4 linked regions of the Notamacropus eugenii genome follow. The protein of the gene in region 1 purifies or fractionates together with the protein of each later gene. This does not show direct contact. Links are inferred from orthologs where the notes say so. Each region holds a gene or a part of one and is shown in the gene's direction. Other genes may lie near its edges. The genes, in order: MPHOSPH6, EXOSC9, ZFC3H1 and EXOSC1.

What was found.
Region 2: the proteins of MPHOSPH6 (region 1) and EXOSC9 purify together in Homo sapiens (affinity purification with mass spectrometry; 5 studies listed by BioGRID and IntAct, with this or other methods). This does not show direct contact. The link is inferred for Notamacropus eugenii from reciprocal best matches to the Homo sapiens genes MPHOSPH6 and EXOSC9.
Region 3: the proteins of MPHOSPH6 (region 1) and ZFC3H1 purify together in Homo sapiens (affinity purification with mass spectrometry; 3 studies listed by BioGRID and IntAct, with this or other methods). This does not show direct contact. The link is inferred for Notamacropus eugenii from reciprocal best matches to the Homo sapiens genes MPHOSPH6 and ZFC3H1.
Region 4: the proteins of MPHOSPH6 (region 1) and EXOSC1 purify together in Homo sapiens (affinity purification with mass spectrometry; 5 studies listed by BioGRID and IntAct, counting the BioPlex papers as one, with this or other methods). This does not show direct contact. The link is inferred for Notamacropus eugenii from reciprocal best matches to the Homo sapiens genes MPHOSPH6 and EXOSC1.

The regions. Positions count from the first base shown.
Region 1 is NC_092872.1:543,300,963-543,308,676, reverse strand, and holds the start of MPHOSPH6 (M-phase phosphoprotein 6), read left to right. Parts: upstream 1-4,440; 5' UTR 4,441-4,600; coding exon 4,601-4,651; intron 4,652-7,714. UniProt on the Homo sapiens protein: RNA-binding protein that associates with the RNA exosome complex. Involved in the 3'-processing of the 7S pre-RNA to the mature 5.8S rRNA and play a role in recruiting the RNA exosome complex to pre-rRNA; this function may include C1D.
Region 2 is NC_092878.1:162,645,191-162,653,030, reverse strand, and holds the start of EXOSC9 (exosome complex component RRP45), read left to right. Parts: upstream 1-4,556; 5' UTR 4,557-4,781; coding exon 4,782-4,847; intron 4,848-6,409; coding exon 6,410-6,504; intron 6,505-6,997; coding exon 6,998-7,117; intron 7,118-7,236; coding exon 7,237-7,339; intron 7,340-7,840. UniProt on the Homo sapiens protein: Non-catalytic component of the RNA exosome complex which has 3'->5' exoribonuclease activity and participates in a multitude of cellular RNA processing and degradation events.
Region 3 is NC_092874.1:249,496,441-249,504,641, reverse strand, and holds the start of ZFC3H1 (zinc finger C3H1 domain-containing protein), read left to right. Parts: upstream 1-4,997; 5' UTR 4,998-5,089; coding exon 5,090-5,735; intron 5,736-8,201. Other genes in the region: THAP2 (THAP domain-containing protein 2), read right to left, coding at 512-707, 4,188-4,276. UniProt on the Homo sapiens protein: Subunit of the trimeric poly(A) tail exosome targeting (PAXT) complex, a complex that directs a subset of long and polyadenylated poly(A) RNAs for exosomal degradation. The RNA exosome is fundamental for the degradation of RNA in eukaryotic nuclei.
Region 4 is NC_092872.1:214,259,643-214,267,081, reverse strand, and holds the start of EXOSC1 (exosome complex component CSL4), read left to right. Parts: upstream 1-4,373; 5' UTR 4,374-4,479; coding exon 4,480-4,516; intron 4,517-4,607; coding exon 4,608-4,723; intron 4,724-4,904; coding exon 4,905-4,979; intron 4,980-5,989; coding exon 5,990-6,078; intron 6,079-6,841; coding exon 6,842-6,875; intron 6,876-7,439. Other genes in the region: palmitoyltransferase ZDHHC16, read right to left, coding at 131-325, 543-785. UniProt on the Homo sapiens protein: Non-catalytic component of the RNA exosome complex which has 3'->5' exoribonuclease activity and participates in a multitude of cellular RNA processing and degradation events.

The DNA.
Region 1 (7,714 bases):
CAGAGCCTCTAATTACAGAGAAGGCCCCTGGGGCAGTTCTTCAGGGGACTAATTAGCATTGGTTTGTAGCAACTAATTAGCATTTGGGTTTCCCAGCATGCCCCACCCTCCCCAATCCTTTCACTGTTTTTCCCAAAATGAAAGCCCTAGCTTTTTCTAGCAGCAGAACAAGTTTTCATTCTAAATAGCTCCAAGTTACTTAACTCTTCATGTGTTTGACCCAGGAATACCCCAACTGGGTTTATAATCCCAAAGAGGATAATGTCAAAAGAAATGTCCCATATATAAAATAATATTGCATTGTTGCATTAACAAAACGCTCAGAGAGATGATGAGAACCTGAATCTTAGTGCCTGCCTAAACAGAAAGGCACAGAATCCAGAGATTAATGAGGAAACAAAACTATCACTCTTTGCAGATGCTGTGATGCTATTCTTAAGAGAATCCTAGAGAATTAACAACTTTAGCAAAGTTGGAGGATATAAAATTAACCTGTTGTGGTTTGTGGCACTGGGAACCCCAAAATGTAGGGGTATAGAGGTCTGCCTTGAAAGAATTCAGCTGCTCAAACCTTCTTTCAAAGTAGTCAAACTTTATTTGTGAAACCAATAGAGTAGTCAGGCAGCAAACACCATATCAACTGTTCCTCAGACCTTTCTGAAGCCACAGTGGCTCTCAGGTAGAGGACCATCTTCCAGGTGAAGAATCAGCCTACCTTTAAAGAGATGGACAACGGAGGCATTCTTGAACTCATGGGGGATAACCTCCTCTTGCCCTATAACCTGGAAAATTTCAGTCAGCTTTTGTATGAGCAATGGTCCCCCTACCTTGTAAATCTCAGCTGGAATAGAATCAGAACCAGGTGCTTTGCCACATGAAAGGAGCCTAATGGCACTCAAAACCTCTTCTTCAGTTGGCAGTTCAGCTAAGGAGGGATTGACTTCAACCTGAAGTAAATGGTCAATGGCCTCAGCATTGATTGATGATGGTCTGTTGAGAATACTATGGAAGTGTTCAGTCCATCTCTCTAGGATCATGTCCTTATCACTAACCAATGTGGCTCCATCAGCACTGAGTAGTTATGATGCACCATAGGTTTTTGGTCCATAAATAGCTTTCAGGGAATCATAAAAGTGCTTTGGATTGTTCCTATCAGCATAAAACTGAATTTCATCTGCCTTCTTACTGAGCCAGGAATCCTACATCTTTCTAAGTTTTGCTTGTACTTTGCTTTTGATGGAATTAAAAGCTGCCTTCTTAGAGATTGATGAACTATTCTGCTGGCAAATTCTGTGTACTTCTCATTTTTCATTTAGCAGCTTCTGTATTTCCCTATCATTTTAATCAAACCAGTCTTTGTGTTCGTGAGTGTTCTGACCCAGATAAGCAAACGCAGTGCTGTACACCAAATCTCTGAAAGCTGCCCATTCCTTTCTGCTCCACTGTTGCCAACTGTGTATTGGCTCAACTTTCCCGCCAAGTCAGCAACAAACTGTTCATACTTTGATTAGCTTCCAAAATGTCACGTCACTATTGGACAAAGAAATCACCTCCATACCCAGGCCACTTTGCAGCCTTAGGCCATCTAATCAAAGAATTTATCCTTACCCAAACCTAAGAACACAATGGACTTCCCCACCTTCTATTAAATTCTGGTAAATTTGGGTGGGGTCTGACCAAAATCAAGGTGAGAACTCAAGGGCATTATCAGTAATGTGCTTCAAGAGACTGAACTTTGAATGAGGACTACAGAAAAATGGGTAACTCTGGATTTCCCCAATTCATTGGTTGTTAATAATTATTTCTCTCATATCCCACAAGAATCCTTATGATATACATGACCCATTGATCCTTAGAATCTACATTCCTATGCATCCCAAAGCGAATCATTTTGTGGGATTGGGAAAACAAACATTGCTCATCCACTTACCTGCATCTTCTGAGTAGCTTACAGAAATATCATGGAGAATTAGCAGGAACTTTATCTACTACTCTACCTCTAAGAATGTGCCTTTATTCCTCCAGGTACAGTACTATCCTCTTTCTTCTCCAAAATTATACACAGTTCTAAAATCTTTTCCTTCTTGGAAGCCAGTGCCAATCTCAAGAATTCAATCTATTGCAGACTCAAGAATCTGGGAGCTCTCAAACTCAGAATTACCCATGACACAATCACCAAGGTTGCAAATGTCTCTTCTCAACATTACTAGTCTCTGACCTGTGCTCAAGGAAACAGGAAATTAAGAGAAGGCAGTCAGGACCTGGAGGTACTGATGGGGTACTTCAGCTTGGAACCCAATCCTAAAACCACATCTCTCTCCAGCCCAAAGATCCCATCTCTGGCAATAACTCATGAGCGGGCCGCAGTGGAACAAACTATCTCTCCTTGTTACAAGAACAACCTGACCTCTGTGGAATTTCCCTTGTATGAACAGAACTGTCTTGTAGCAACAGAACTATCTTGTTCTGATTCCCACAGTTACCCTATACAATCCAGAGGTCAAGCTATAGATGTCATTTCCTGAGGCTATCTTGTTACAGATGTAGCAAACCACAAACACACTCCTTACAAGTCCCTTGCCCATCCAGAATTTCCAGTAGTGAATGATGCCTGAGTCCAAGGTACAGAAAATGAATGTTTACCACCTAATTAGCATACTTGGCATACAAAGCACTGTTTTTCCTATAGAGGTTTTAGCATCGCCTCCACCCACTTATTCTGCAAGTTCCTTAAGGAACTCTGCACCCTATATTAGCTTGACAATAAACTTTTTGCCAAGAGACTAGAAGACTGCTTGAGTCAAAGAATTCTTTCTAGATGACTCTGCCTTGTACCGAGGCAGTTTGGGGTCTCTGTACCCCTAAACCACATCATTTAAGGTACCACCTTCTCAAACTCACCTAACCAAACACAGGCTACTCATCATGTGCTTCTCCTACGTCTCCATCTTCAGCCTTAGGGGACAGAAGAAAATCCATTCCCCACAATCCTTGCTGCACCCTAGTCGGAAACCTAAAGGAGATAAAGCCTAGGAAAAGAAAAAAAGGGGGAAACTGTTTCACAGTTCATTTTTATACCACAGAGAACAGGTAACTTAACAAAAGTCTGTCCTCTTTGACTCTCAGTTGGCAGTCCTCTTGGAGGCAACCAAAATCACTAGAAACCAATCAAAGAAGTTACCTGTGTCTCCTCAGCAAGGGTCTAAGGTAGATGTGGTTTCCATAGGAGCTAACCTTTCCAGCAAAAATCTACATCTGTAATCTCTTCAAGTGTACTGGCAGACTCATTTAATCATAGGCTCCTCTGATCAACTTTGTCACACAGTAAAACATATGTATTTTAACAATTCTAAATAACTATACATCAGGGGGTGAGGATCATTTTCAAAATAATGTCCATTAACACCTGCCCCCCCCAAAAAAACCCTAAAATTTTAAAACTTCAATTTTACTTTGTATTAGAGAGAAAAAGGAGTTTTCAGTTTAATAATATAAAACTTCTATTAGGCTAAATAAATAAAATGTATACTTGTTCGAATAAAGCAAACACTTAAAATTTACATTTCCATACTCTTATCTCCTTAAAAAGAGAAAAACATCAGGAAAGGTAAAGAGAAGGAGGTGGGGAGAATCACACAAAGGAAGGTAGTTGAAAAGAGGGACAAAGGAAGTCAAAAAATTGAGAGAGGAGCTCATTTCTATCAAGAGGTGGTACAAGAAAGGCAAAAATGAATTCAAAAGTGATGAATGACAGCACCAAAAGAGACAGTAAGAGAAGATGAGGATAGCCCATTGATTTTTAGAGCTGCTGTTAGGGGACAATCAGGCCCTCACACAGCACGGCCCTCGGTGCCTGCAGGAAAGGGGGACTACTAAATGGACCACGGCACCAGAGCCGGGCTGGTACTTCCTACAGTGCCCAAGACACACCTACCCTAGTCAGAGAACCTAGACTGGAATAATGCATAAACTGTGCGACCCTGGACGAAGTTACTTCTCTCTGGACCTTCCCCCAGCACCCTTATGACTCTGGGCAGGTCGCTTCCCCTTTCTGACTCAGTTTCCCCTCTGGTAAAGTCCCGTAAAGCCCCTTCTGGTCTTGACTTCACGTGAGACCAAGGCAGACCCCAAATGCGACGGAAAACCCTGGCTGTGAAGTCAAGGCGGCTGGGCTGAAATCCTGGGCGACGCCAGGGAAGTTACTTCACCTCTCTGGGGCTCAGGCTCTTCATCTTGTAAATAAACGAGTTGGGCTAGGTACTGCTAACGCCCTTTCGGTTTAAGCTACGTAATCCACGGTAGTTTTCTTTCCTCTTCCTTCTCCGAAAACCTTGGGTATCTTTGTCCCCCTCTCCGAAGTTAGCAACCACAGCCGGAGGGTGACGTGACACCGGTGCCTTCCACCCCGGACTCTGCGCAGGCGCACCAAAGGGCTCAAAGAAGGCCTTTCGCTCCAATACTCGCCCCACCCCCCGACCCCCGCGCTGCAGACCGGCGCCGGACAGTGACGTAAGCAGACGTGACGCCGCAGAAGCGACGCTGACGGAGTTTCTCCAGGAGCTTTCGCGAGTTGTTTAAGGGAAAAGCTAGTGAAGGCGCCATGGAGGCCACGTGTAAACCCAAGCTGTCAAAGAATCTCATGAGGATGAAGGTAAGAGACGTCGCGGCGGAAGATAGTGCGGCGACGTCCCCGAGGGCGGCCGAGGCTGCGGGAGCAGAGAGGGAGGCCGAGGCGGCGACGTCCCCGAGGGCGGCCGAGGCGGCGGGAGCAGAGAGGGAGGCCGAGGCGGCGACGTCCGCGAGGGCGGCGAGGCCCCGAGGCTAGTCTCAGAGGCCTCGGTCTGGGGTGGCAGAGGACAACTGGGACCGGACCGTGTAGGGCTTTGGATGCCCGACTCCGAGGGCCGGACTTATTCACCGAGCGATAAGAAAAAACAAAGAACCTTAGCAGGTTTTCTGCAGCAGGGTCACGTGGTCAGAAATCTTAGAAGGGCACGTTCCTCTGCCATCTGGGCCCGCTGCTACGTAAATCGCTTTGTGAGGACTGTTTTTACATGGTCCACATTGCTGTCTTTCCCATCAGAGTGGAGCTCCTGGAGAGCAGGGAGTGGGTTGTGCCTTTCTTTGTAGACCTCGCACTTGGTATAGTGCTTGGTATGCAGCAGGCACTTAAATGTTGTGTCTCCACACTTCACCCCTTTGCTGTGAACATCTCCCAGCTTCATCTTTGCCTCTCAGAAATCCTCAGACTCAGTTGAAGTGCTCCCTGCTACATGAACCCCAGATGCTAGTACTCTCCCATGCAGAGTCACCTTACTTCCATTTTGTATGTCTGTACATGTACATGTTGTCTCCCCTGGTAGGATACAAGCTTTTTGAGGACAGGGACTCTTTCACTTTGGGCTGTGGATCTACAGTACTTAGTAGCAGGTGCTTAATAAATGCTTGGTTATCTCATTTAATGCTCACAACAACTCTGTGAGGTAGCTACTATAAGAAGGATTAGTAGGTAAATGTGAAGATAATCCAGAGAGGGAAGGCATGTCCTAGCATTAACCAAGTTGGAGAGAGGCTTCTTGTGAAGATAGAGTTTTAACTTGAAGATGAAAGAATCAAGGGAGGCAAGGAGATGGAGATGAGAAGGAAGAGAATTCCAGGCATGAGGACAATCAGGGAAAATGCCTAGAGTCTGGAGGCCAATTTAACTAAACTGTAGAGTACATGAAAAGGGTTAGTAGGGAATAAACATGGAAGGGGGGCGGGGCAGGGTTGGAGGCACATTGTGAAGGGCTTTAAATGCTAACAGGTAGGTTGCCATTTTATCCCACAAGTAATAAGGAGCCACCAAGGTTAAGTAGAGGAGTGACATAGTCAAACCTGGGCTGTAGGAAAATCACTTTGGCAGCTGTGTGAAGAATAGACTGAAATGTTGAGAGACTTGAAGGAAAACCATTTTGAAGACATTAGACAAGTGCAAGTGAGAGGGGTGAGGGCCTAAGGCTGTGTGGATGGAGAGAAGGAAGCTAATATGGGAGGTGTGTGTGGGTAGATTTGGCAAATAAGTAGAGGTGGGAGCTGAAGAATGTCAAGTCAAAGCTCTCCACCAATTCTGCAAATCTGGATGACTGGAAGGATAAGTAAAGGCTACTGGAAGTCTAAGTAAAGCACTTTGTTAATAATGACTGATTTATAGTGCTTTACATGTATTCTCATTTGATTCTCAGTTTCCTCTTGAAGTTAAACATGATCACCTCAGAGGGCAAAGCCATTCCCAAGCCTCCCCCTTTAAGGTTCTGGACCCTCCTGGCTTAAGAGTGATTATCAGTAATAACTGTTGCTGTTTCCCTCCCAGCTTGATTTAGTTATTCTTTCTTTGGCTCATTAAAGGAGCCATCCCCTGACTAGTTCTTAAACAGGCCTATTCACTGAATGGGAGCCACCTCACCCTAAGTGAGTACTTTGGCCTAAAGGTCTCAAGGTCTTCCTCCGCATCCTGGGTCATCTCCAGTCATCCTGATGAATGTCCGGTCACTGGATTCAGATGGCTCTGGAGCAGAAGTGAGGCTGGTGACCTGCACAGCCCTCCCTCACTCAAAACAAAGTCAAGTGCAAGTCATGTCATCATTTCTCTGATGTCATGGTCTTCTTCGAAAATGAAGGATGAACACAGACAGACACAGACTTTGTATTTCCTATTTACTTACACCTCTAGGGTTTTTTTCTTTTGCTTCTAGTATAATGTAAGCTTCTTAAGGGCAGAGGCCTTTTGTTGTTGTTAGCCAGTACATAAAATATTTATTAAGCTCCTATTAAACGAGGCTCTGAGCTAAGGCCCTACGGTTAAAAAAAATACAGTCCTTTTCCTCAAGCTCACCGTCTGATGGAGGAGACAACAAGCAAACAGATGCTAAAATCAAGGGCGGGGGTTTACTTTCTGTAGAAGGTGGGATTTTAGCTGGTACTTGGAGGAAGTCAGCAAAGCTGGGAAGCAGAGATTAATTAGGTGGGAGGGAATTTCATTTTTTCGTTGTATCCTTAGCATCTGGAATAGTACCTAGCACATAGTATACCTATAAAAAGAATATGGGATAGATGAGTGAATGAAGGTTCAGACTGAATTGGAAAGGAGAGGCTGGAGGCTGAGAGAATTGGTAGGAAAAATTTTTAAAAATCCACACAATTGATTTGGGCTGTGTGAGTAGGAGGTGATAATGAGAGATTGGAAAAGTAGAATGACATGATTTAGGAACAGTTAGCATGGTGAGGGAGTGTCATTTGTGAATTAAAGTTGATGCTGAGGTTTGGTCATTTGGAGAACTGGGGATACCATTGACAAAAAGATCCATGTGAGTGGAGAATAGTGGTGGTAGGAGATGAGTCTTGTTTTTAAGTTTGAGATGCTTGCAGGACATCTGACTATTAGAGGTTTTTCAAAGATGTTTGGAAATGGTCAGAAAATTCAAGAGAGAAGAATTGGAGTTGAAAATAGAAATTTGGGAATCAGCACCCAGATAATAATTGTTTAGCTTTGAAATCCATGGCAGAGTTTTAATTAATCTAAGGAGTAATTTGTAGCCATTAGAGGCTCCAGAAAGAAAGGAAGAGAATTCTGAGCCTTTTTGTATATCTCTCCTCACTCTCTTTGTGTCTCTCACCTATCTTTGTCTTTTTTTCCCTTTTTATTTGGCCATAAAATGGAATTGAATGTTTAAAG
Region 2 (7,840 bases), on another chromosome or scaffold:
TCATCAGATCTTCACAGCAACCCTGGAAGACTCAGTGCCATTTTACAGTTGAGGAAAGCGAGGCAAACAGGTGACTTGCCCAAGTTCACATATCTTACTGTATACATTTGCTTCTCTCTGATCTAATGTATTAAATTGAATTACCATAGACTTTTTATGTAGCTGGAAATAATTTGAAGTTACTGTTTATGCCATGATTTGGGTTGGCTGTATGAATCCCCCACCTTTATTTCTTTCTTTCATTATTCATTTTTATTTTTTTATTCTTTCATATATTGTTACCATCTAAGTTAATTTTATTAAGTATGCCTTTAGTATTTCAACTGGTAAAACATGCTAATATAGTTGGTAATGCAGTATTGTTATTTTTACTTTATTAGGACTATAGAGTCAAGCAGATTGAATAAATATACATGTTTAGTTCTTTCCTTATTTCTATAAAAATTGTTTTGCATTTTTAGAAATTCAAGGTGAGTGTTGGTAGGTTAATTTCCAGATTTAGTCTGTTTTGTTTTCATTTAAAATGAATTTGCAACAAAATAGTTTGGTTGGTTTTTTGGTCTGGTATATAGTAGGCACTTAACAAGTGCTCTATTGTTGTTAAATAAAAATTCAGGTTACTTTATTTTCCTATCTGTTTTGCTGAACATCTATTGCCCCTAATTACCTCAATAAGCTAAAAGTCTGTGGTTTGCTTTACTGATTTCTTGTTGATTCTCTTGGGTTTTGAAAGTAAATGATCTTAATGTTTACAAACTGAGAAAATTTAGCATGTTCTTTATCAATGCTTGTTTCTTTACTTTACCTTGAATCTAGAACTATGCCAGATGACATCGAGAGGGCATAGATAATCAGCGACCTGGTTCAGTCCAGTATTCATCAGTCTGTCACTACTTTCTTTTCCATGGCTCCTACTTTTATTAAAAAACAGTATTTTACTTCTTACAATTACATGAAGACAATTTTTAACATTCTTTTTAAAAAAATTTTAAGTTCCAAATTTTCTCTCTCCCTCCCTTCTCCCTAAAATGATAACCAATCTGATATAGGTTACATGTGAGCAATTATGTAAAACCTATTTCCATATTGATCATGTTGTGAAAGAAGAAACAGACCAAAAGTGAAAAAAAACCACACAAAAAAAATGTGAAAATAGTATGCTTCCATCTGCATTCAACAACAGCACCCACTTTCTTTTAGGTCAAAGACAAGTCCTTCCCAGGTAGGCCATCTCACATCACTAGGCTGGCTTCTAACCCATTAAATGCTGTGTAAGATGTAAAGACAGGAAAAAAGAGTTCCCTTTCCCACGATTTCGATGAGCTTCCATTTTTATGAGGTTTGTTTTAGGAGAGGCCTTTTTCTTGGCCAGTGGCTGGGGTGAGTGCTATAGCCTGACTCATGAGTGTACAGGCCTATTCACTCACCCCAAGTGAGTCCCTGAGTAGGCCTTGGCCTAAAGGGGCCAAGGTCTCCCACTGCATGCTGGGCCATCTCCAGTCATCCTGATGAATATCTGGTCACTAGATCCAGATGGCTCTGGAGGAGAAGTGAGGCTGGTTACCTGCACAGCCCTCCCTCACTCAAAACAAAGTCAAGTGCAAGTCATGCTACCATTTCTCTGATGGCATGGTCTTCTTCAGCAAGGAAGGACGAACACAACGGTAACATGAGTGTCCTGCTGGGAATTGCTACCTGTAGAGGTGAAGTGATGGACCAAGCTCTTATTTGGCACTGAATCTATTTATTATTGATTACATACTGAAGTTGTTAATGAAGAAACTCTTCTAATCCGAAGAAACCCTCACACTAAATGTGTTATATACATCAAGCCTATATATCAAGCTGATGGTTTTCTTTGAAGCAGATTATAGCTGCTTCTAACCTCTTAGAACTGCCCTATTAAAAATCCAATAGTTTTTATTCCCTTGCAACCTTTGTAACAAGCCTTTCTGAACTTTTAACACCTTGTTAAGGGTGGACCTGATTCTGGTCACTTGCCTTATAATTTATGTTCAAACCTGGAACAAAGTGAGACACTCAGAGTTCCCTCACCAGCCAACAAAAGGAGTTTTCCTTAGCCGTGGCAGGAGAAGGCTATTCAGCAAGGAGAGAGGGCCTGAGTTGCCCATCATGGTCAACTAGCCAAGCAATGAGAGAGGATACCTAGAGCTCAGCACAGCTGCAACCTGAAGCAAGCAGATGTGAGGATGATCTGATGAACTTTTACTTTGTTGGGTTTTTTGCGAAATTAAGGTAAACATTATGTAGTATTTCAGATTGTGAAGTGCTTCTTCCACCTCCCGCCACCAAGAACAACAAAACTGAAAGCAATTCATCCGATGAGGGGTCCAATTAGGAAGAAAAAAGTAAGGAGAGAGAGGGAGAGGGAGAGGGAGAGGGAGAGAGAGAGAGAGAGAGAGGGAGAGAGAGAGAGAGAGGAGAGAGAGAGGAGAAGAGGAGGGGGAGGGGGAGGGGAAGGGAGAGAATGGTTGCATGATTAAATCCAAAGCACCACAACCTCCATCTTGCCTGTCTCCCCTTTCAAATTCCAGAGACAGGAACATTTAGAGAAAGTATATCAGAAACAGTAAGGCGCTATCTCCTAATTCTGCTCTGTGGACCTTTCCCTTTTCCCACCCAGAGGCCCACAAATCAGCCAACAGTGTGAGGGACCTTAGGCTAACCAAGCACAGAGAGGAAGACAAATGGAGACCATGTGTGAAGGCCAAGGAAAGGAGGGAATTTCCTGTATCTTCCCGGATAAGGGCTTTGAAACAAGTACTCGATGCACCACTTCAGATGAATTACAAGTTACGAGTGGGGAAACGCACCAAAGTCAACACTGACACAGACACAAGGAGGAAAGAGAAGGGAGACTGAGGTTAAGACAACTTGTACATCTTGCCAACTCTGGACAAGGCAACGACCAATCATGTTTCTAGAGGGCTAAGAATGAAACTCACATGACCACCGTATGGAATTGTTTTCCTTAACTAAGCTTATTTGTTACACGTCTCTGCTTGTTTTCTGTCGGTTTTCTAATGGGGGTGTGAGGGAGAGAGGGGAGTTAGCAATAATGAGGAAAAAAGAGGGTTTGTTAAAACACTTTTTAAAATGCACAGACACAAACAGAAGGGAATACAGACTAAGCCAACAATTTTGAAAATAGCATAAGCAATTTAGAAAACTAGGGCTGTGAAACAAGCCCGGGAGTTCACATGCTGCCTAAAAAGGAAACGCTTTTTTTTTTTTGGCATTTGACTGTACATTGGACATAAATTGTGACTCATTTCTGTTCGAACGTCCTCACTGTCCGCCTCTTAGTAGCTGCAGCAGAGGTAACCTTAAATACTCCCTATGTCTTTGGGGGCAATATTCTTCCCTTGGGGACTTCTGTGGAGAGTTCATTCTAACACCGCAAAGAAATGGAATTAAGGCTTATTTTCTTTGGCTTTCTAATTTTGGGAAGGGAGGAGATAATGAGTTCATTTTTGACGTGTGGGACCAAAGCCCCTGGGGCTGTATATAGATGTGAGTCATCTGCACGAGGATATGGACCCCAGAGAGCACGGCTCAAATCTGCCCCTCCACAACTCCCAGGGTCACGAGCCCTCTGTGCCTCTGCTCTGGCCTCCTGCAGCCGCCCCCCGCCCCTCCATTCCTTACCTTCCCCAAGGCCAAGGTCTGGCCTGCTCCCAGCTTTACTACGCAACTGCGGGGGCTCCCTTCCCTGAGCACCCCCTCCTCCGCTGAAGATGCTGCTCTCGCCACATTTCACCCCAACCGCTCCTCTATCTTCCTAGATGGATGGGTGGCACCCCAGAACCTCCCCTGTTCGGGAGCACCGCCCAGAGCTGGGGAGGAGGCCCCCGGCCCGGATCTGACCCCCAGGGGCGGGCCACTCCCCTTTTCTGCTGTCCAGTTCCCTCCTCAGAGGCAGGGAGCTGGAGAACCCGGGCAGCGGACCTCCCGGGGTGAAGCGCTTCCTAAAGCCGTGGTCACTTCGGCAGTACTCCCCCCTGACCACCACCCCCCGCCCCGGCGGCACAGGGGCTGAATTCGCCATCGGAGGCCCTGCTGTGGGGTCTGGCCTTGCCTCCCCGTGGGCTGCTGAATGTTGTCAGTCCTGACCCCGCAGGGGGTCTTCTTGCCTGGGGTCCTTGGCTAGCCCACTGCACAGATGAGGACACTGAGGCAGGCAGAGCTCGGGGCCTCGGCCAGGTCCTCGTTCCCTGGAGAAGCCCCCACTCGGGGCGGGGGCTCGAAGATGCCGCAGGCCCGCTGAGCACCCACTACGTGCAATCACCCAGGATCACCCGCGACCGACAAACACGAGTGTGCGGATACTCGGGGCGGCCGGGGCAAAGTCCCACGAGGGGGCTGAAGGGAGCACGCGCGTTCACGATCCCGGGGGCCTCCCAAGAACTCTTCTGGTCCACTGTTGTCCTCAGTAACGTGGGCACCCGGTCTGGCGCCCCAGAACCGCGCAGGTGACTCCTCCCGCCCCCTCCCCCTCCCCCCCGCCCTTAGACCGGAGCCGTGACGCCTGCGCAGAAGCGCCACGGCGCCCCGCCCCGGCCCCTTCGCGCATGAGCAGAGCGGCAGCCGCTCGCCCGGCTCTCCCCTCCGCCCTCCACGGGCCGCGTACTGATGCCGTCAATCTTCGGCGCCACCGAAGACGCCTGGGCTTCACGTGAAGCGGCGCGCGCTTCTCGTTTCCATTCCCCTCCCTCCCTCCGGGTTCCGGGGCCGCAGCGCTCCCCCCGAACGGCGCTGCCATGAAGGAGACACCGTTATCCAACTGCGAGAGGCGCTTCCTGCTCCGAGCCATCGAGGAAAAGAAGGTAGGGAAGGAAACTCGCGCAAGCGCGGCCTTGAGCCCGCTGTTTGGAGGCGGGGGGCGGGGCGGAGCAACTGTCATTCTCCCGCCCCGCCCCCTCCCTGGCGCGCCTAGGGTGGAACGCATGCGCCTCCGGCCGCGGCCGCCCTACTAGTGTCACGAGCGTCTCCCGGGTACCCGGTCCTCAGTCTTTCCCCCTCCTTCCGGGTGTCTGGCCGTATGGGAAACGGGCTCTGAACTTCAATCTCAGAGAGCCTGGGCTTCCGCTTTTCCGAACCCTGCCCTACCGTGAGCGCATGCGTGCTTCTGGCCGCTTACAGCACCCACGCATGCGCGCAGCCCGGGCTCGCGCTCGCGCCTCCGGCGGATGGGAAGCCCCTCCCTCCAGGGGGCGGGCCCAGACCATGCTTAGGAGCTCCGAGGCAGAGGCGGTGGCTGCTGCCATGTAGGGTCTTCCCGGGCGGGGCAGGGCGGGGCGGGCTGGCAGCCCCAGAGGGGCAGGGACGTGCCCGGCCCCCACCCTGCCCTCGCTCTCGGACCCTCGGCCAGGCTGCCTCTCTCCGCAGTGTCAAATACAAAGTAAACGTCGAAGAATCCGGAAAGGCGGCCCGCAGGAGGGGCGCCCCCGAACGGGGCCTAGAGGGCGGGGGCAGGAGGGACGAGGAAGTGGTGGTGACGTCAGCGCGTCCGGGCGGCCCCCGGGGCCGAGTGACGTCAGCGCGTCCGGGCGGCCCCCGGGGCCGAGTGACGACAGCGTGGGCGGGGCTGGCTCCAGGCCCGCCCTGGGGCGTCCCCTTCTGGCCCCGGGGTCTGCGAGTCGGTGGTGCTGGGATATGTTATTTCAGATAAATAGTCGTTAGCAGTCTTGGTACCTCGCACGTATCTATTAAATACGGATAAATAAACCGTGTTACTTAAAGGTACCAACCCCGAGCTTATGGACAGGTCACAAAGAGCTGCTGCTGAGCCTGCAGACTCCTCCTTGGAGGCGCCCACAGCAGAGAATAAATGCATAGAGCGGTGCCGGGCGAGGCGTGTTCAGGCACCGGATAAGAGGGTACATGCAGCGCCCCGCGGAAGACGGCCCCGCAGAACTAAGGGATCCGGGGCATGCCGCCGTCTCGTGCCTCCCGCGGGCGCTGGCTCCCCACTTGGTCATGCTCGGCCGTGATCCGTGGCAGGGCCTGGCTCTGATGGAGATGCTCTCCCCGAACCCGCCACCACATTCCCTTCATTCCTACTCGTACTCTGTGACTTTGGGGAGAAACTGGTCCGACTATTGCGCTAGTCTCCTGTGAGAGGTTTATTCGAGTAAAAAGCATCCGAGGTTTCAGACACTGACACATTCAAAGGATTCCCATTGTGTTCTGAGCCTAGTACTGCCGTAGGGAGAGGTGAAGTTTGCGCTTAGTAAAGAGCCGACACCAACAAGAGCTGTGATACAAAGTAACAGCAAACCAAAGTCAATTAGAACTCACCAGTTTAGTTAATAGACGTTAAAGCACTTTAACTGTTTGACCCTCCTGAAGTTTCTCCCTACCTATGAAACTTGTCTTTCTGTTGAAGCGCCTTGATGGTAGACAGACCTATGACTACAGAAACATCAAAATTTCATTTGGAACAGACTACGGCTGCTGTATTGTGGAACTTGGGAAAACAAGGTAAAAAAAGGCTACCCATTGTGTTTCAGTAGAATAAAAATCAGCTTGAGAAGTACCTCATAGCCTCGGCTTTTTGGACATTTGAAAAGTCTGTGAAACCAGCCTGGCCCTCACTTTTTCTCATCTGTAAAATGAGAGGACTGGACAAAATGTCCTCTGATGTTGTGGAAGGGTGGCAGTAAGCAGAGGTTCAAGTTTAGCTGAGGCTGGCAGCTCTTCTGAGCTGCATGGGGCTGTGCCAGCTGGGCATTTGTACCATCTGACTTTAATGTGGTAACCCCTTAGTCCCAGGAGGGACAGACCAGCCCAGGGAGGAAACAGTGTCAGAGCTCCTCAGTCACTCAGGGGTCGGTTCATGTCCCGCATATCCAGTCTGGGCAAGAGAGGAAGATCCAATTTAAAAAAATATATTTAAAAAAAAAATAATCAACTGAGATGAGTTGTACAAAATGTGTAGGTTTCACTGACCAAAGTTTATTTTTTGTTTTTGCAGAGTTCTGGGGCAAGTCTCCTGTGAACTTGTTTCTCCTAAGCTCAATCGAGCAACAGAAGGTATTCTTTTCTTTAACCTCGAACTCTCTCAGATGGCTGCTCCTGCTTTTGAACCTGGCAGGTATTGGATTCTGTTTCTTAAGAAGGATTTACTCTGCTTTTTGGAAGAGGAAAATGCATTATAGCAGCGAGTTTGTGTTTCGATGGCTCTCTCTCATCAGCCCATACTTATATTCATAGGCAGTCAGATCTCTTGGTGAAGTTGAATCGACTTTTGGAAAGATGTCTAAGAAATTCGAAGTGTATAGACACCGAATCTCTCTGTGTTGTTGCTGGTGAAAAGGTACAGAATATGCCTTCAATGGTTAACACTAGGGGAAATGTCGTAGATTTGGGGAGTTGACATGCATCCTTCATTCCCAAAGCTTTAGTCGATCCAATTTTTTCATGGGGAATTCTCCCATCTCTCCCAAAGGTTGCTTGCGGGTGTACTTGGGGCATCATCCCATTTGTTGTTAGGAAGGAGTAAACTGACACTTTGGATTTATAGAATCCTCCTTCCAGTGCGTTTTAGACTTCTCAGCCAAATTTATGTCATTCAGTCTCTTTAAGGTTTTTCATAGAAGCGGACAGCACTTTCCTCTTTTACAAGCGAAGACCCAAAATGCACACAGAAGTTGTTTAACCTCCCCAAGTCCATACAAAACAAGGATTGGAATCCAGCTCTTTTGATTTTCAGTCCAGTGCCAGCCTGGCAGATGGGTCCCTTTGGATTTAACCTTGGCTGTAGTAGACGGACTTGAACTATGGCAAGGCACTTTCTGTTTCTGAATTCCATACTCCA
Region 3 (8,201 bases), on another chromosome or scaffold:
CCAAGTTAAGAACCTCTGTCAGACTAGGTCTGCAACTTGACTCTAACTAGTTGTAGGCCCTAAGGCCAGGCACTTAACTTCTCATGGTCCCTTTATTCTTGTTTATAAAATGAAGAAGTTTGTCTAGTCAGTGGGGTCAAACTCAAATAGAAATGGAAGCCACTAAACAGGACTTCACTTTGAAAATCACATATTAACATTATCTATGTTCTATTGTATTTTAATTTTGTTAAATATTTCTCAATTGCATTTTAATTTGGTTCCCTCAGCCGGGGAATGTTGCAGTTCTACTCCTTTAGTGTTTGACATCTCTGATGTCAAATTTTCAAGTTCTCTTCTATCTCTAAAAATGACATTTGACAAGTAAGAACAATAAGGACAACTTTTTTGATCGTATGTGGCATTCAAGGTAGTCTTGCTTTCTTATGTAAAGGACAGTCAATGTCAGAGATGACAAAAATGAGGAGTTGGGGGAGGCAGAAAAAGGAAAAGAGAAAGTAGTGTCACCTACCATTGGTTTTATATGAGTACAGAAATCAAAAATTGTTGGTACGGCATCCATTTTAAGTCGTCTTGTTTGTCCCGTTAGGTCAAAACAGGAGGCTTCAAAGTGTTTTGAGCAAAGAAAAGTATGCTTCCCTGGCACAAAATTTTTACGCCTAACCAGACGAATCCATTCCTTTCTTCTTTGGGGGTCTAAGGGAAACCTAAGGAACAAAACACATCTCAAATGCCAACTGATTTGGAGAAATGACAACATTTCAGGTAATCCTAGTGGTTAAAGATTATTTAAAAATAAACAGTGATTTAATGTTGATTACATTTAAATATTTGCCTAAAAATATTAACACTGAAGTGATTTACATACTCTAATGAAAATAATTCATGTTCACTTTCATAAGATTGAATAAATAGCAACATCTATGAAGGCGTGACTAAGGTGATTTCTGTGATTTGGAAGAATACATCCTTCTCAACAGATTCCCTAGGATGTACAGAAAAAGGGAATTTTTTTCCTAGTCTAAAATTGTTTTAATCATATTCATTTATCAAGTGCATAGAACTATTATATTAGAATAATTTAGCTATGCCATCTACTGCTGCTGGCATAATGGTAAAGGCAAAATGGACACACTCATTTTGTCAAGAAAACTTAGGTAAAATGACCTCAATTTCTAAAATTTGTATTTTAGTTTCTAGTTAATTTGTATGTAAGTGTTGAAATCAATACTTTGTCATTACTGATCATCCCAATAGAAATCACAGTTCTCATGAAACAGTAGAAATATCACTGATAGGTCCAATTAGATTTTAAATTCCAATAAATACCTTGTTCTTAGTTCAGTTAAAAATTTACTGACATAGATGAACACACATATGGAATGTCTTCCTGTGTTTCTACGTTGTTCAGAAAAAACTCAACAGGATAATGGAGAGATTATTGATCTGGAAATCCTGTAAACAACTAGATTTGATCAATTTGATCTCAAATTTACTTTGAGTGTCCTCTAATGGAAGTGTTAATCATTATGAACTTGCTAGAAGAGGAATGAGAATGAAACTGCTCTATTTGGGGAGCAAAAAAATATTGGAGATATTAAGAGATCATGAAGAGGAGAGATCCACACTGGAAAGCTGTCATCACCATGACCTCCATTATGCCTATATTTCCTAGCAAGAAGTAAGGAAAATGGTAAAGGTTCTTTCACTTCTTGTAGCTATACTTTCTTGGAAATTTCAAGGTTTCTGGGATATGAAAAGTAGTTCTTTGTTATTAAAAAGTTTAGAGGCATTTTCACTTTCGTAACTATTTCCCCCTTTAAGGGATCAGATCCAAGGACAAAAATGTGGGCTGATTTCAAAGATCCTAATTCCACTATTTCCTGATTGTGTCAATAAACCCTAAATGATTTTTTCTCTTCCCTAGGAAAGACAAGGGAATGTTGAGTGTCATTTTCTAAGACCTCTTCATGACTGTACGTAGCCCATCAAACAAGTCTTGAAGACAAATATTTATAAAAATAATATTATTATAAAAATAAGTCATCCTTTCCTCATAGGTGTATTATTTTCCAAACCTTTGTCTTTGAAGGTTATCTTAAAATCACAGAGCCCAGACCTGGGCTGTGTTCCTTAAACGTAGTCATATGGGTCATGTCAGTGATATTCCAAGATAATTTTTAGATTGAGAGGCACTGAAGTATAATGGATGGATGACTATCCTTAGAATAAGGAAAACTTGGTTCAAGTTCTATCTCTTGGTCACTTATCAGCTGTTACCATAGGCAAGTCACTTAATCTCATGAGGTTCCAGGCAACTCTTTAAGACTAAAAATTACAAGGGGATTACTGTACTGGGCAAGTGACAGGTCTGGATCATTGCCAACCTCCCCAAAATCTTTTGATTATCTATGTTGATGGAGAATATTTTTGTTATTGTTTCCTGACTTGTGATTTCATCAGTTGCAATAACTCCTACAGTGGAAAACTCCCACAATACAAATTAGCAATTTACCTTCAATTTATTTTTTAGAGAGTTGCCTAGAGCTTGAATCCAGGTATTCCAAATGCAAAGACTGTCTTAAATTCACTAAGTCACATTCTCCCAGAGAGTATTTAAGCACTGAGAATTAGAATGAAATTTTGAAGACTAGCACTGGAGTTTGAATGAACCAATTAGGATTCTCTTTAAACATTTAATCTGAACAAAAATCATTTCAATAAATTCAACAAATTTTATTAAACATTTGTTATGGTTGATCAGTCTTTTCAGTCCTATCCAATTCTTTGTGATCCTATTTGGGGTTTACTTGGCAAAGAGACTAGAGTAGTTTGCCATTTCCAGTTCATTGTACAGATGAGGAAACTGAGGCAAACAGGGTGACTTACCCAGTGTGACATAGCTAGTAAGTAAGAACTGAAATTCAGGTGTTCCTGACTCCAGGCCTATTCACTAAAAAAATAGAGGCAGCTTGGTGTAGTGAATAGACAGCCACAATCAGAATCAGGAAGACAACTTCAAGTTCTGCCTCTGACACATACTCGTCTATGTGACCCTGTATCAAGTTACTTGACTTCTCAATGCCTTCAAAACTATTAGCTGTATTATTTGCAGCATCTGCCAATGCTGATCTACTTTGGTGGAGGACGTTTATTCACTGGGAGTTCCCTATGCTAATAAAATCACAGGTTTAGTTCCTCCCTACCCAGCATCTCGAAAAAGCGGTTGATACTAGAAAACAAGTCCCACAGCTGGTACTCAGCAGTTAGAGTGGGGAAAGTAAAAAGTGCCCCCCCCTCCAAGTGTCATACTATATTACACATATCCTCAAAGGTTATATATATTTTTAGTGGCCAACTGTACACAGTTCTTTTAAAAGTGCCTTTCTATAAAAAAGTTTAGTACTTAAAATAAGCATAAAGAAGATACAGGAGTTTCGGCAGAACTGATGAATTTTTATTTTAAAGCAATTGGCAAAGAAACAACTCTGCCTTTCTTAATACTAGGGTAGAACAGACACCAAGCCCTGCTTTAGGTTTTCTGTTAAACAGAAAGTTCAGAGCAATACCACGATTGTCATTGGCCGCTACCCCTCAGAAGAATCAACTTTGATGTCAATTCTGGAATGCGGCATTGCCCAATTTTAATAGGGCAGTAACTGTTTTTCCAGATGGGGACGACTTCTTTGGTCCAACCAAGCTGAAAGATGCCTCTCTTTGCCTGGCCCTAAGTTTCCAGAAGCTCGGCTGCTCCTGTATTCTTCTTCTTCCTTTCTTCCTCCTACCATCCTTTCTTTCTTTCTTCTACTCCACACACACACACACACACACACACACGCGCGCACACACACACACGCGCGCACACACACACACACACACACACACACACACACACACACACACACACACACACACACACACACACACACACGTGTGTCGGGGCTGGTAAAGCTAGGTATCCCTTCACATAATAGTGTATTTAAAACATTGTCAACTGAAAGAAATGCTACATTTCAACTTGTGAAAATGACACTTTTCTCCCGCTGAAGCTCACGGTTTCCCTGAAATCTATCCACGGACGCCGCGTTACGACCCCGAGTCTGGGTGGCGCCGGGCGGGATCCAAGACAGCCGCGGCGGGCGGTTCTGGTTCTGGCCGCCCAGTCCCTCCCGACCGGTACCTGTTACCTGTGGAAACTGACGTTTATGTGCTTGTTGTAGGTCGCGGCACAGCCCGCAGCGGCGCAGTTGGTCGGCATCTCTCTGACTTCCCTCATCCGACCGACGCGGAGCCCAATCGCGGGCGGGAGGGAGCGCCGGGGATCCCCGGCAGGCTTGGGAAAGGGGCTAGGTCCCTACTCCACAGGGGCTTTCTTTCCCTTTAATAAGATGGCGGCCTCGAACCCGCAGGGCAGACGGTCCCTGAGTTCACGCAGCCTTGTCTTCCTTCACCAAGATGGCAGCGCCCTTCCTCCACATCGACCGCCCCCCTCTGCCCCTCCCCCTCTTTTTTAACTCGGGCAGAAAGAGTAGCTTCCAAAATCGCCCCAGCGGGGCAGACTAAGGAGATTCGCCCAATGGGAACCGACTCAGGGTCTGCGGGGGGGTTTGTGAGGGTGTCGGCAAAAGGGCGAATAACGGGAAGGGGCAAGGAGAGAAAGAAAAACTACACCTCCCATGATGCCCCGCGCGCCCCGATGGATCACCGCGTGAGCCATCCAGAACCGCGTGTCGCCTCGGCCTCGGGAAGGCACTTCCGGTTTGCCTCCTTCCAGCCTCCTTCCTCGCTTGCCTTTTCTCGCGAGGCCCTGGCGGAAGATCCGGGAATCTATCTCGAAAGGGGCACAGAAGGAGCTGGGTGGCCGGCGGTGGCGGGGGAAGTTGGAGGACGGCACTCCCTCGGTGTAGAAAAGCGTCCACCTCGGGGTAGGGGTGAGGCCCGGCCAGCCCGGGGAGTGAGGAAGGAAGGAAGGAAGGAAGGAAGGAAAGAAGGAAAGAAAGAAAGAAAAGAGAAGCAGGTGAGTTGTTTCTTTTTGGGTGGCGGCTGCCCCGACGGTGGGGGTGCGGCGTGAGTCCAGGCTGCTCCGTGGATGGCGGCCCCGGACGCCGCGACCCCGGCCACCAGCGGCCTCTCGCCTAAGGAGGAAGGGGAGCTGGAAGACGGGGAGATCAGCGACGATGACAACAGCCAGGCCCGCAGCAGGAGCAGCAGCAGCAGCAGCGGCGGCGGCGGCGGCGGAGGCAGCGGGTTGCCGTACCCGCGGCGGAGGCCTCCGCACCCGCCCCGGGGCGGTGGCTCCGGCTCGGGCGGCGGAGGCGGAGGCGGCGGCGGCGGCTCGTCGTCGTCGTCGTCGGCCTCGTCGCAGCCGCCGCCGAGGAGTTTCTCGTCTCGCTCGCGGCACCCGTCGGAGCGTGGCCCTCTACGCGGGCCCAGCGGCGGCTACCGGCCTAAGGAGCCGTTCCGCTCGCACCCGCCCCCCATGCGGATGGCGTCGTCGTCCTCGCTGTCGGAGGGCAGCCCTCGGCAGTCCTTCTGGGAACGCAGCCACATCGCCCTGGACCGTTTCCGCTTTCGAGGCCGGCCCTACCGCGGCGGGGGCCGCTGGGGCCGCGGGCGAGGCAGCAGCAGCGACCGGGGCGGCAAGCCGGCGGGCGGCAGGCCCCCGGCGGGAGGAGGGGGATCGGGCTTCGGCAGCGGCGGCCAGAGCTGGAGGGAGCCTTCTCCTCGCAAGAGCTGTATCCTTTCCGTGGGGGTGGTCGGGGCTGTTGGCTTCTGGGGATCTTCTCCTGCTCTTTTCGCAACCCTTCCCCCCCTGCATCCCGAAGTCTGGGCTTGGGAAAAGTAATGCCCAGGAGCAGCCCTGTAATAAGCCATGCCGTGTTTTATTGTTGCGGGATATTCATTGACTTGTCTACTTTCACAATGCCCTCCACAAACGGGAATCGCTCACGGGCTGTGCTGGGCACTGGGATTGAAAAGATCAAACAAAAAACCCCCTGCCAAAACCCCCCAAAACTCCAAACCGCTCGAGTGCGTCAGTACCCTGGAGGAACTTGTATTTGGAGGAGTACGATACACACGTGTAAGTAAATAGGAATTTTGTACCAGGTTTAATTGATTTGAACTCCTTAGAATTGTAAAATTTCTCATTACTCCGTTCATTTGTCGAACCCAAGTTGCAATTTTATTTAATGCTTTCTCTTCTTGTTGCCTTTAAAAGTGAAGGGGGAAAATGCTCCCCAAAGAGCTACAGGGAAACCCCTGTTATTAAGAATTGTGTCTCCTTGGTAGTTCTAGCTGCTTTCACTTTTTTCCTTTGGTGTTTGCTGTTTGTTACAGGAAGATCTTCCTATTAGGGTAAGTATGGATGAGAGACTTATTTTAGTAAGTTTGACTACCGACTAAAGTCTTGGGAGGGATTAGGATGGAAAGCTAAGCTTTTGATTCTTATTTTTTAAAAAAAATTACTGTCTTCAGGTACCACCCTGTGTGATTATAGAGTGAGTAATCTGGTGTTCTTAAGAATTAGTGTTCATCCTTTGGAAACAGAATCATAAGATTTAGAACTGGGAGGAGTTTGGGAGCAAAGATAGAGGTGAAAGATTAAAGCTCAGAGTGTCATATAATAACATAGTTGCCGGGACCCTAAGGTGTTCTCTTGTATATTCAGTCAGTCTGTAAATATTTATTTAGGTCCTCCTATGTGCTAGGCACTCTAACCCTCAAGGAGCTTACAGTGGGGGAGGGGGGGTGAACAGGAGAGGTGGAAACATCAAGCAAACCAATATGTGCAGCCAAGCTATATATACAGGATAATAGAAACTAGAATCTCTTCTAAAGAACGTGATCTTTGCTTGAAAGCCATGTCTTCATTGGCAATCCATTCCATTTTGAATCAACTCGTTGTTAGGAAATTTTTCCTTAAATCCAGTCTAAACTTGCCTCTTTGTTCAAACCCCTCAGAGGGGTTCTTAACTTTCCTTGGGGCTCTGATTGAAGCCTCTGGACCCTTTCTCAGAATAATGTTTTTAAATTTGTAAAACAAAATACATATAATTGCAAAGGAAACCAATTATGTAGAAATTGTTACAAAAATATTTTTTCAAAAGCGTTGGCTCCAGGTTAAGAACCCTTGGTTTAAGGCTACACAGAAAGTGGCAAATGAATATTTTTTTCATTTAGAAATTAGGTCAGATTCTACATCCTTTACTCTTTTTTTTACCCTCCTTAATCATACTTTATCTTTTTCCAATTACATACAAAAATAGTTTTCAACATTTATTTTTGTAAAATTTTGAGTTCTGAATTTTTCTTCCTCCCCTTCCCCAAGACAGCAAGCAATCTGATACAGGTTATAGATGTACAATCATGTTAAGCATATTTCTCATAGTGATTTTGTTGTGAAAGAAGAATCAGAACAAAAGGGAAAAACCACGAGAAAGAAATAAAAAGTGAAAATAGTATGCTTCAATCTGCATTCAAACTCCATAGTTTTCTCTGAATGGAGACAGCATTTTCCATCACGAATCTTTTGGAATTATCTTAGAGCATTGTATTGCTGAGGAAGAGCTAAGTCTATCATAGTTAGTCATCACCCAGTGTTGCTGTGTATAATGTTCTCCTGGTTCTGCTTATTTCATTCTGCATCAGTTCGTGTAAGTCTTTCCAGGTTTTTCTGAAATCTGCCTGCTCATCATTTCTTATAGAACAATTGTATTCCTTTACATTCATGTTCCACAGCTTGTTCAGCCATTCCCCAGCTGATGGGCATTCCCTCAATTTCCAATTCTTTGCCACCACAAAAAGAGCTTCTATAAATACTTGTATGCATATGGGTCCTTTTCCTGTTTTTATGATCTCTTTGGAATACAAACCTAGCAGTGATACTACTGAATCAAAGAGTTTGCACTGTTTGGTTGCCTCTTGGGCATAGTTCCATTGCTCTTCAGAATGGTTGGATCAGTTCACAACTCTTATCAACATTTAATTAACAGTTTTTAGTTAACAGTTTCGTAAACAGTTAACAGTTTTCCCACATATCCGACATTTATCATTTTTCTTTTTTGTCATATTACCTCATCTGATGGATGTGAGGTGGTACCTTAGAGTTGTTTTAATTTGCATTTCTCTAATCAGTGATTTAGAAAATTTTTTTACATAATTATAGATATTTTTAATTTCTTCCTCTGAAAACTACCTAT
Region 4 (7,439 bases), about 330 Mb from region 1:
GAAACCAGTGACAAGGAAGAATTCTTGAAAAGTTCTGCTCCCAAAACTTGTTGCCCCTTTACTAGGATTCTAGGTTCCCTGTCCTATTAGTTTGACCCTGGTGTCCTGCTGTGCCTTCCCTGAGCCCTACCTGGGGTGGGTATCCAGGAGGTGTGGTGATGGCCTGGTAGTAGTGGAAGACGATAAGGATGAGGTTCCAGTGACTGTAGACAAAGTGCCAGCAGATTCGGGGCACTGAGTAAGTATGGAGAATCAGGGGCAAGACACACAGGTAGGCAATAGCAACAATGGAGCTCGTCAGTACAATCACCAGGGCCACAAAGACCTGTCAACAGTAGGAAGTCAACACTCATCTGTGACTGGAGTATGGAAAGATGGCACCCCACAACTAAGGCAGTACAAGAGGAGGAAAACAAATAGAGCCTGGTTTTGTAAAGTATTTTGTGGAGTCTTCAGATCAAGCCACCTATCCCCATCCTTTCACCCAAAAGTCACACATCTCTCATGCTAACCCCAAGCCACATAATCCTGCCAACACTCACCACCCCAAACCAGCGGATCACATTGTCCACAAGCCAATAGACAGGCTCAAAGGCAGAGTCAATGGCAGTGTCACTGCCCCCAAAGGAGTTGTAGAGCAGAGAGCGCAGACAGACTTTTCCATAGCGCCAACGAAGTACAAGGTTCCGAAGTAACGATGGGCATCTGCGTCTGTAGCCCAGGAGGAGAAGCAAACGCAAGCATAGGCGTGCTGGCCCCAGCAGTAAGGACCGGCGGCTTCGCATGGCCTCCTACAGCAAGATAAACAGGCGGTGAACACCTAAACTCCTGCGCCCCACCAGACAAGTGAGTCAAGTAAGGGCTCTCTGAGGTCACACTCAGCCTGCCCCTAATGACTTACTTATTCCAACAACCACAGGATAGAGGTGCTAAGCTTAGATTTGAAGAATCAAACTTAACTAAGTATACAAATACAGGAGCTCACATGTTTAACAAATAGTACTGAAATTGTAAACCTCCCAAATGTGAGGTAAGTAATAAAAGTAGTATTATGCCTGCTTTCCAGTTAAACAGGCTGGAAGGTACAGTAGCATGACCAGAATCACATCTAAGTTAGGATGTGAATCCAGATCTAAATCCAGCAGTTTTTCCATTACACAATGCTTACTCTTAACACAAGAAGTAGACTAACACAAGAAGGATGTAAGTCCCGCCACTAAATGACACCTCTTGCATCAAGAGGGACAAAAGAAATAACTGGCACCAAGCAAAGTCTTCCTCTGGATTTCTCTACAGAATAGGAACCAAGAGGGCAGAGGAAACCTTAAACAGCAAGAACAACAAAACCACTGCAAGGAGAGAATGTGACAAAGCGTGTGGCCTTCTGCAATGGCAGAGCTGTTGAGGAAGCTGCCTGTCACCTAGATCTCCCTCCTGCCCACCTCCCACTCACCTCCCACTTCTAATGCTTTCCACTCTTTAGCTAAAACTAGCCACATCAGTATACGAAAGCATTCTGGAGTGGATCCTGTTCCAAGGTCTTTGATGCCATCTATATCCTTGGAGAGAGCTATCAGTTCTCATCTTCTGGACTGCTCTTACAGGCTCAGAGACCTCAGCCTGGCAGCATAAAATTCCCAAGCTTTGCACCTTCCATTCTCAGTCCCAACTATCACATGATGTTGGGACAACAACTCATGGCACTTTGTGGTTACAAAGCTGTATCTCCTTTGATTCTCCAAAAATCCCGAAGAGATATGGAGAATAAAAATGATTGTCCCCATTTTACAGATGAAGAAAAGGACTCAGAGATAAAAGGACTTCCCCAAGATCACCCAACCAGGAAGTAGCATGGCCTGACTTCAAGTTCAGATCTTAGGATTTCAAGTCCTGTGTTCTTTCTCCTGCCTCTTTTGTGACATAAATCTTGACATCTTTTCTAATCTCCCTATTCAGAGGCTAAGGGAACCACCAAGATATGGGTAGTAGGATATTGTCACTTCCACCCTAGAAGTGACATTTACTGGGGATGTCACATATTTAAAGGTTGCCTGTGTCCCTTTTCTCAGACTCAGATCCTTCTTGAGAACATAATCTGGCCTGTGAAGTTTAGTCTTTTCCTGAATTAGTTAGAAGTCAACCTAATGATCCTCTTAACTGCCCCCCCACCACACACACACACACACACACACACACACACACACACACACACACACTCTCTTTGTTCAAAGCAGAAACGCCTTCTCTACAGTGATTTCCCCTCACAGGCCTGCTTCTTAGCTTATCTCCCCAGCGCTCCAAATTCTTTAATATCTTCAAATATTTTCGTTCTCTCTGGCTGTGGAATAATACAGCAATGGAAGAGGAAAAGACACCTAACCAATATCTTCAGCTACAGACTTCTGTGGATACCTGCACCAATTTTGTGAATGAGTCTATCTCTTATGGAAGAGCAGATTATCGGATTTGTCATGTGGGAGGCAGGAGGGTGCTACTCTGCTCTCAACTCTGTTAACTTAATTATTTAGAATGAAGTCTGAAACCCAGAAGAAACCGGAGGAGGTCTGCATATCTAGGCATGGTTTCAGTTCAGTAACTGGATCAGTGTCCCTTCCTTCCACCCAAGAAAAGCCTTTAAACACAGGTATTCCATCTCCTATTCCTGCACCTGACAGATAACGAAGGAAAGAGAGAAATGGAGAAAGAGGGAGAAGGTGAGGGAGGGGGGAGAGAGAGGGAAAGAGCCAGCAAGTAGTACTGCTCTGGCCAGAACCTTAAAGCAGTCAGAAGTGATGCTGTCCATCAGGATCAGGAAGCTCTCCAACTCCCTGATATCAGGGCAATCAGGAAGAAAATATCGTAGGATAGAAAATGCAGGAACTTTGAAGCTCCCTCAAGACTCAGCTCAAATCCCATCTTCTCTTGGAAACCTTTCCTGGTTCCCCTATTGCGATTACTGCCTTCCCTCTGATTTTTTTCTATCTACTCTGTTTAAATCTTATGGATACCTTGTTGTTTACAGGGATCCTACGTTAGAATGGGAGATCCATGATCCCATGTGCCCAGCACATAATTAAATATTTAAATAAATGTTTAATAAAATAAAAATAAAATAATTAAAAATACTAATTAGCTGACTCTACAGTCATTTGATTTAAAGTAAGGATTTCCAGAACAACCGACAGGCGTATTCAAATGCAAAAACTACAACAAAAATCCTCTGCATTTTGAAACTAAGCAAAAATTTTAAATCCCATTTTGGGTTACATACACTACACCATTTTAATTGGTAGATAATAACAAATAGCTTATACTAAACTAAATAACTAAATAAAATAACTAAAATAACTTTAAAAAAAAACACTAGATGACTTTCCTAAAGGGAATAAATTCAGATTAAACAGCACTATCCTAAAACTCTCCATTCCTCTAACATCAGAGTGACCAGAAGTACTCCTCCACAGACTGTAACCTGAGGAAGTTGTCTCACAATCCTGTCTCAGCCCCTAAACTTGCAGTTCTCCATCTAATCTCCCCCTCTACATTTGCTGGATAGGTTTCCATTTGGGCAAAGGCATGGAGGAGGGAAGCGTTGCCCCGCCATCTGTCCATTCTAGGGTCACCAGCCCAGAGACGAACTTCCCCGTTTGACCTGAAGGCAGGTCCGCGGATAACTGGATAAAGAGCGTTCGGGGATGCAGGGCTCTGCCTCCGAATACGGGGCTCCGCAGAGGTCAGTAACTTTCTAGGGGGCCCGCGGGTGGACAGACAAGGAGGCAGCGACGTGACCCCGTCACCGAGCTCGGTCCGCCCCATCCCAGCCAGCCCCGAGTGCCAGGTAGGGAAGCAGAGCCACCACGGAGGGGGAGGGGCAGTGAGCATAAAGAAGCCCCTCCACCCCCTCCCCAAGGGCTTGGAGGTATCCCGGGAAAGACGAAGCCCCCCTTCCTCGGCCCCCGCCTCAGGAACGGCCCAGGGCGCACGGGCGCAGCCACTGACCCCTCTCACGCCCCGTACTTCCACGCCCCCCGCGGCTGGGGGCCCAAGATCCTGAGGGAAAGGAAAGAGGTGGGAGATAGAACCTTGTGACCCCGGAGGTCGCCTTACCTCCTGTCTGTCGGGCAACGACCCAGTCCAGCCCCGAGGACTTCACGGCTCACAGCAGCCTCGGCCGAAGCCGACCCCGGCCCCAATCAGCCAGAGCCACCATCCCCAGTCCCCACCTGCGGCGGCGCCAGGACCGCTACCACCCCGGCCTCCCCTACGGCGCAAGCGTGGGCAGCCTGGCGGCCCGCCCTCTTTTCTTCCTCCCAAGGTACCCTGGGAGCTGAAGTTCTGGGAGGAGAGGGAAATCTCTGAGGAGGCCCTGGAGAAGCCACGTGGTACGCCAGCCAATTGGCAGTTCTGTTACTCGGGCCCTCAACTTCGTTTCGACCAATGGATTGACGATCGGTCTCTCGCAATGGCTGTTGGGAGATCATGGCTATGGCGCCGCCGATGCGGTACTGCGTCCCAGGTGAGTGAGCCCCGAGGAAGGGTTGCCGGCCCGGCGAGCTGCCGCTGAGGGCCCGGATGGGAGGGATGGACACCACGTTTGTCCTCCGCAGGCGAACGACTGTGTAACTTGGAGGAGGCCAGCCCCGGCAGCGGCACCTACACCCGGCACGGCTATATCTTCTCCTCGCTCTCCGGCTGCCTGGTGAAGACGAGCGACAACGGCGAGGTGAGGCCGGCCTGCGGGGCCTCGCGGGGCGCCGGGGAGCCCCGTAGGCCTTTGCGTCCCCAAAGCCTGGGGTCGGCCGCCGGACGGAGCCAGGGCCTCTAGCCCCACTGAATCCGCCCCGTGGCCCCCTTGACCTGGCACCGAGTAGAGCTCAGGCCCCTGTTCTTCGTCCCCTCTGCAGCTCCCGGTGGTGTCAGTGACCAGAGAGACCGAGTCCCAGCTGCTGCCAGATGTGGGAACGATCGTAACGTGCAAGGTGCGGTAATGCCCACCCGCCTCCGAGCTCCCACATGCCCAGGGCGCCGGGCTTTGCCTCCGTCCGCCGGCTGCAGTAGTGGTCAGGGCTGCTGGTTGTTCCATCGTGTGACCTTTTAGACTGTAAAAACCCCTTTCTACTTTACAGGGAATGTCATTTTCCTACTCGGTGGGTACCCGGTTCTGAATTCTAAAAGCTGGGGGATTTATTCTTTAGGAGAAAAAAACGAAAGCAAAAATCCTCACCGTTCAGAGGTTCTAGCGAACTTCAGATCTCATTAGACATTTTTAAGGAAAGAGACTATGAGTTAATTTTGTGTCACTAAAGTTTCTCCAGGATGAAAGCTAGAGTAATGTTAGTATCTTCATAAATAGCCCCAGCAGAACAGTATGTGTTGTAATGTTGAAAGAGACTGAGGAGCAGTGGTACTAATTCACATTTCTACAGGATGTTCCAAAAGGCTTAGTGCAATTTTAAGCTTTAATAGGTTCCCGTGTCTAAGATTTAATAACTTAAAACTTCACTAAGACTTTTGGAACACCCCATACAACATTTTGCACTTTATAAAACGTTTTCTGTGCATGCTTATTCCCGTCTTCACAAGAACTCATTGAATTCATACAAATGTCCCAGTCTTAATTTTGCAAATGAAAAGACAGCTTACAGAATTTCAGGTTTTTAAGTCTATATTCTTGATTCGTTAAGGTCCTAAAAGACCGATGGCTCAATTGTCCAAGGATTCGAACCTGCTGGAATGCCTTACATTTGTTTACTTCTCAACATGCTTTCATTTTATTTCATGTGATATTCTGAAATAGGGCAAATTTCCCTAAATTATTGAGAAAACTGAAACAGAGATTAAGTGAGTTACCTAGTTAATAGGATAGTTAAGAGTAGAATTTATTTCCCTTAATTACTTATTTAGAAATCTCTGCCATATATCACCAGGATTTCTTTATCTGACAGCTGCTAATATTTTTAATCCATCCATTATCTTCTCTATGGCACAGGTCTCCAGCATTAATTCTCGATTTGCCAAAGTACATATATTGTATGTGGGATCCACACCACTCAAGAACTCCTTTAGAGGCACTATCAGGTGGGAAGCTTTTAAATTTATTTATTTTGCTTCAAAACAGTCTGGGATTTTAAACAAAATATTACAGATCTACATCCATCATGTTTCTTTAATATCTCTGCCTTCCTTTCTCTGTGATCTCTCTTGTGTTTCACAGAGAAAGTTTGGACTAGGGTAGTAAATTTGACTGAAGTATGTGCTTAGCAGGCATCAGGGTGATATGTGTTCATCCAGAGTTGATTGTAAGTTTGTTAGGCCCTATTTCTCCTAAAGATTACATGTAATTGCAGTTGTATAGGCCAACCCTGGTGATTATTAGAAATGGAGGAAATTACTGGGTAGGGTTCTTTTTCCCGAGTTTTCCCTTGAAAAGGGGACAGAAATCATTTTTCATGGATGTAAGATCATTTATTCTTCAATCTCTGAAAGTCTCTTCCATCCTAGGATTCTGAATAGCTGTGCAGTCATTTTCTGCCACTTCTTTCCAGGAGGGGCTAATAAGTTTTCTTATACCTTCGCATGTCTTAGCTATCCTGAAACTTCCTTCTCTCCAGACCCATCCCTAGGAACAATTGCTGGCTATTCTATGTGGGCCTCTTGTGACAGGATAGAGGTCTTAGCCCAAGATGTAATCTTGGGATGTGTTTCCATCTTGTGCCTCTGGATGGCAGCTAATTAACAAATATGATTCGTCCCAATTCCAGCAGCTACTCTGGCCTTGGTCCTAGAAAGCAAGTCGTTGTTTCTCTTGAAGAATCTTTTTTTTTTTTTAATTTCCTTACAGGAAGGAAGATGTTCGAGCTACTGAAAAAGACAAGGTAATGATTTTTTAAAAAAAACTTAATAACTATGGAATCTCAAAGTTCCTGTTATTGTAATTAATTTCAAAGACCATATTTGAGGACAAATATATCAGAGAAAGAGTCCCCGGTGATACTAAAGTTGTCATTTTTCTACTACTACAATGATTTCCCCTCTTGCCACACTGCCCCCCAAGTCCTTTTCTCCCTGTGGATTTTTTGTTTATTGACCAGAGAGGAACAATTTGCTCTGTCTTCTAATTTGGTACATTTTTCTAGAATACTTAGTAACATTTCTTCAAATTTAAGTATGGGTTCTCACTCTAAGCCAGATATGGGAGCTTTTAGCTAGGTCAAAATCCTAGGTCCTGGCACTGTAGATTTCTAAATAGATACTTTGTTCCTTAAAGAGTAAAATGGATTAAGATGAACAGGTGTGATTTCTACCCGCTGGGAGAAAATGAGCTGAATTCAAATGAAATGGTTAATTCCAAAGCAAATAGATCCACTTCCTAGCTCCATATGGTCACTTGGAACTAGAAAAATCTGTAGAAAGATGGGATTCATTCATTTTAGTGAATT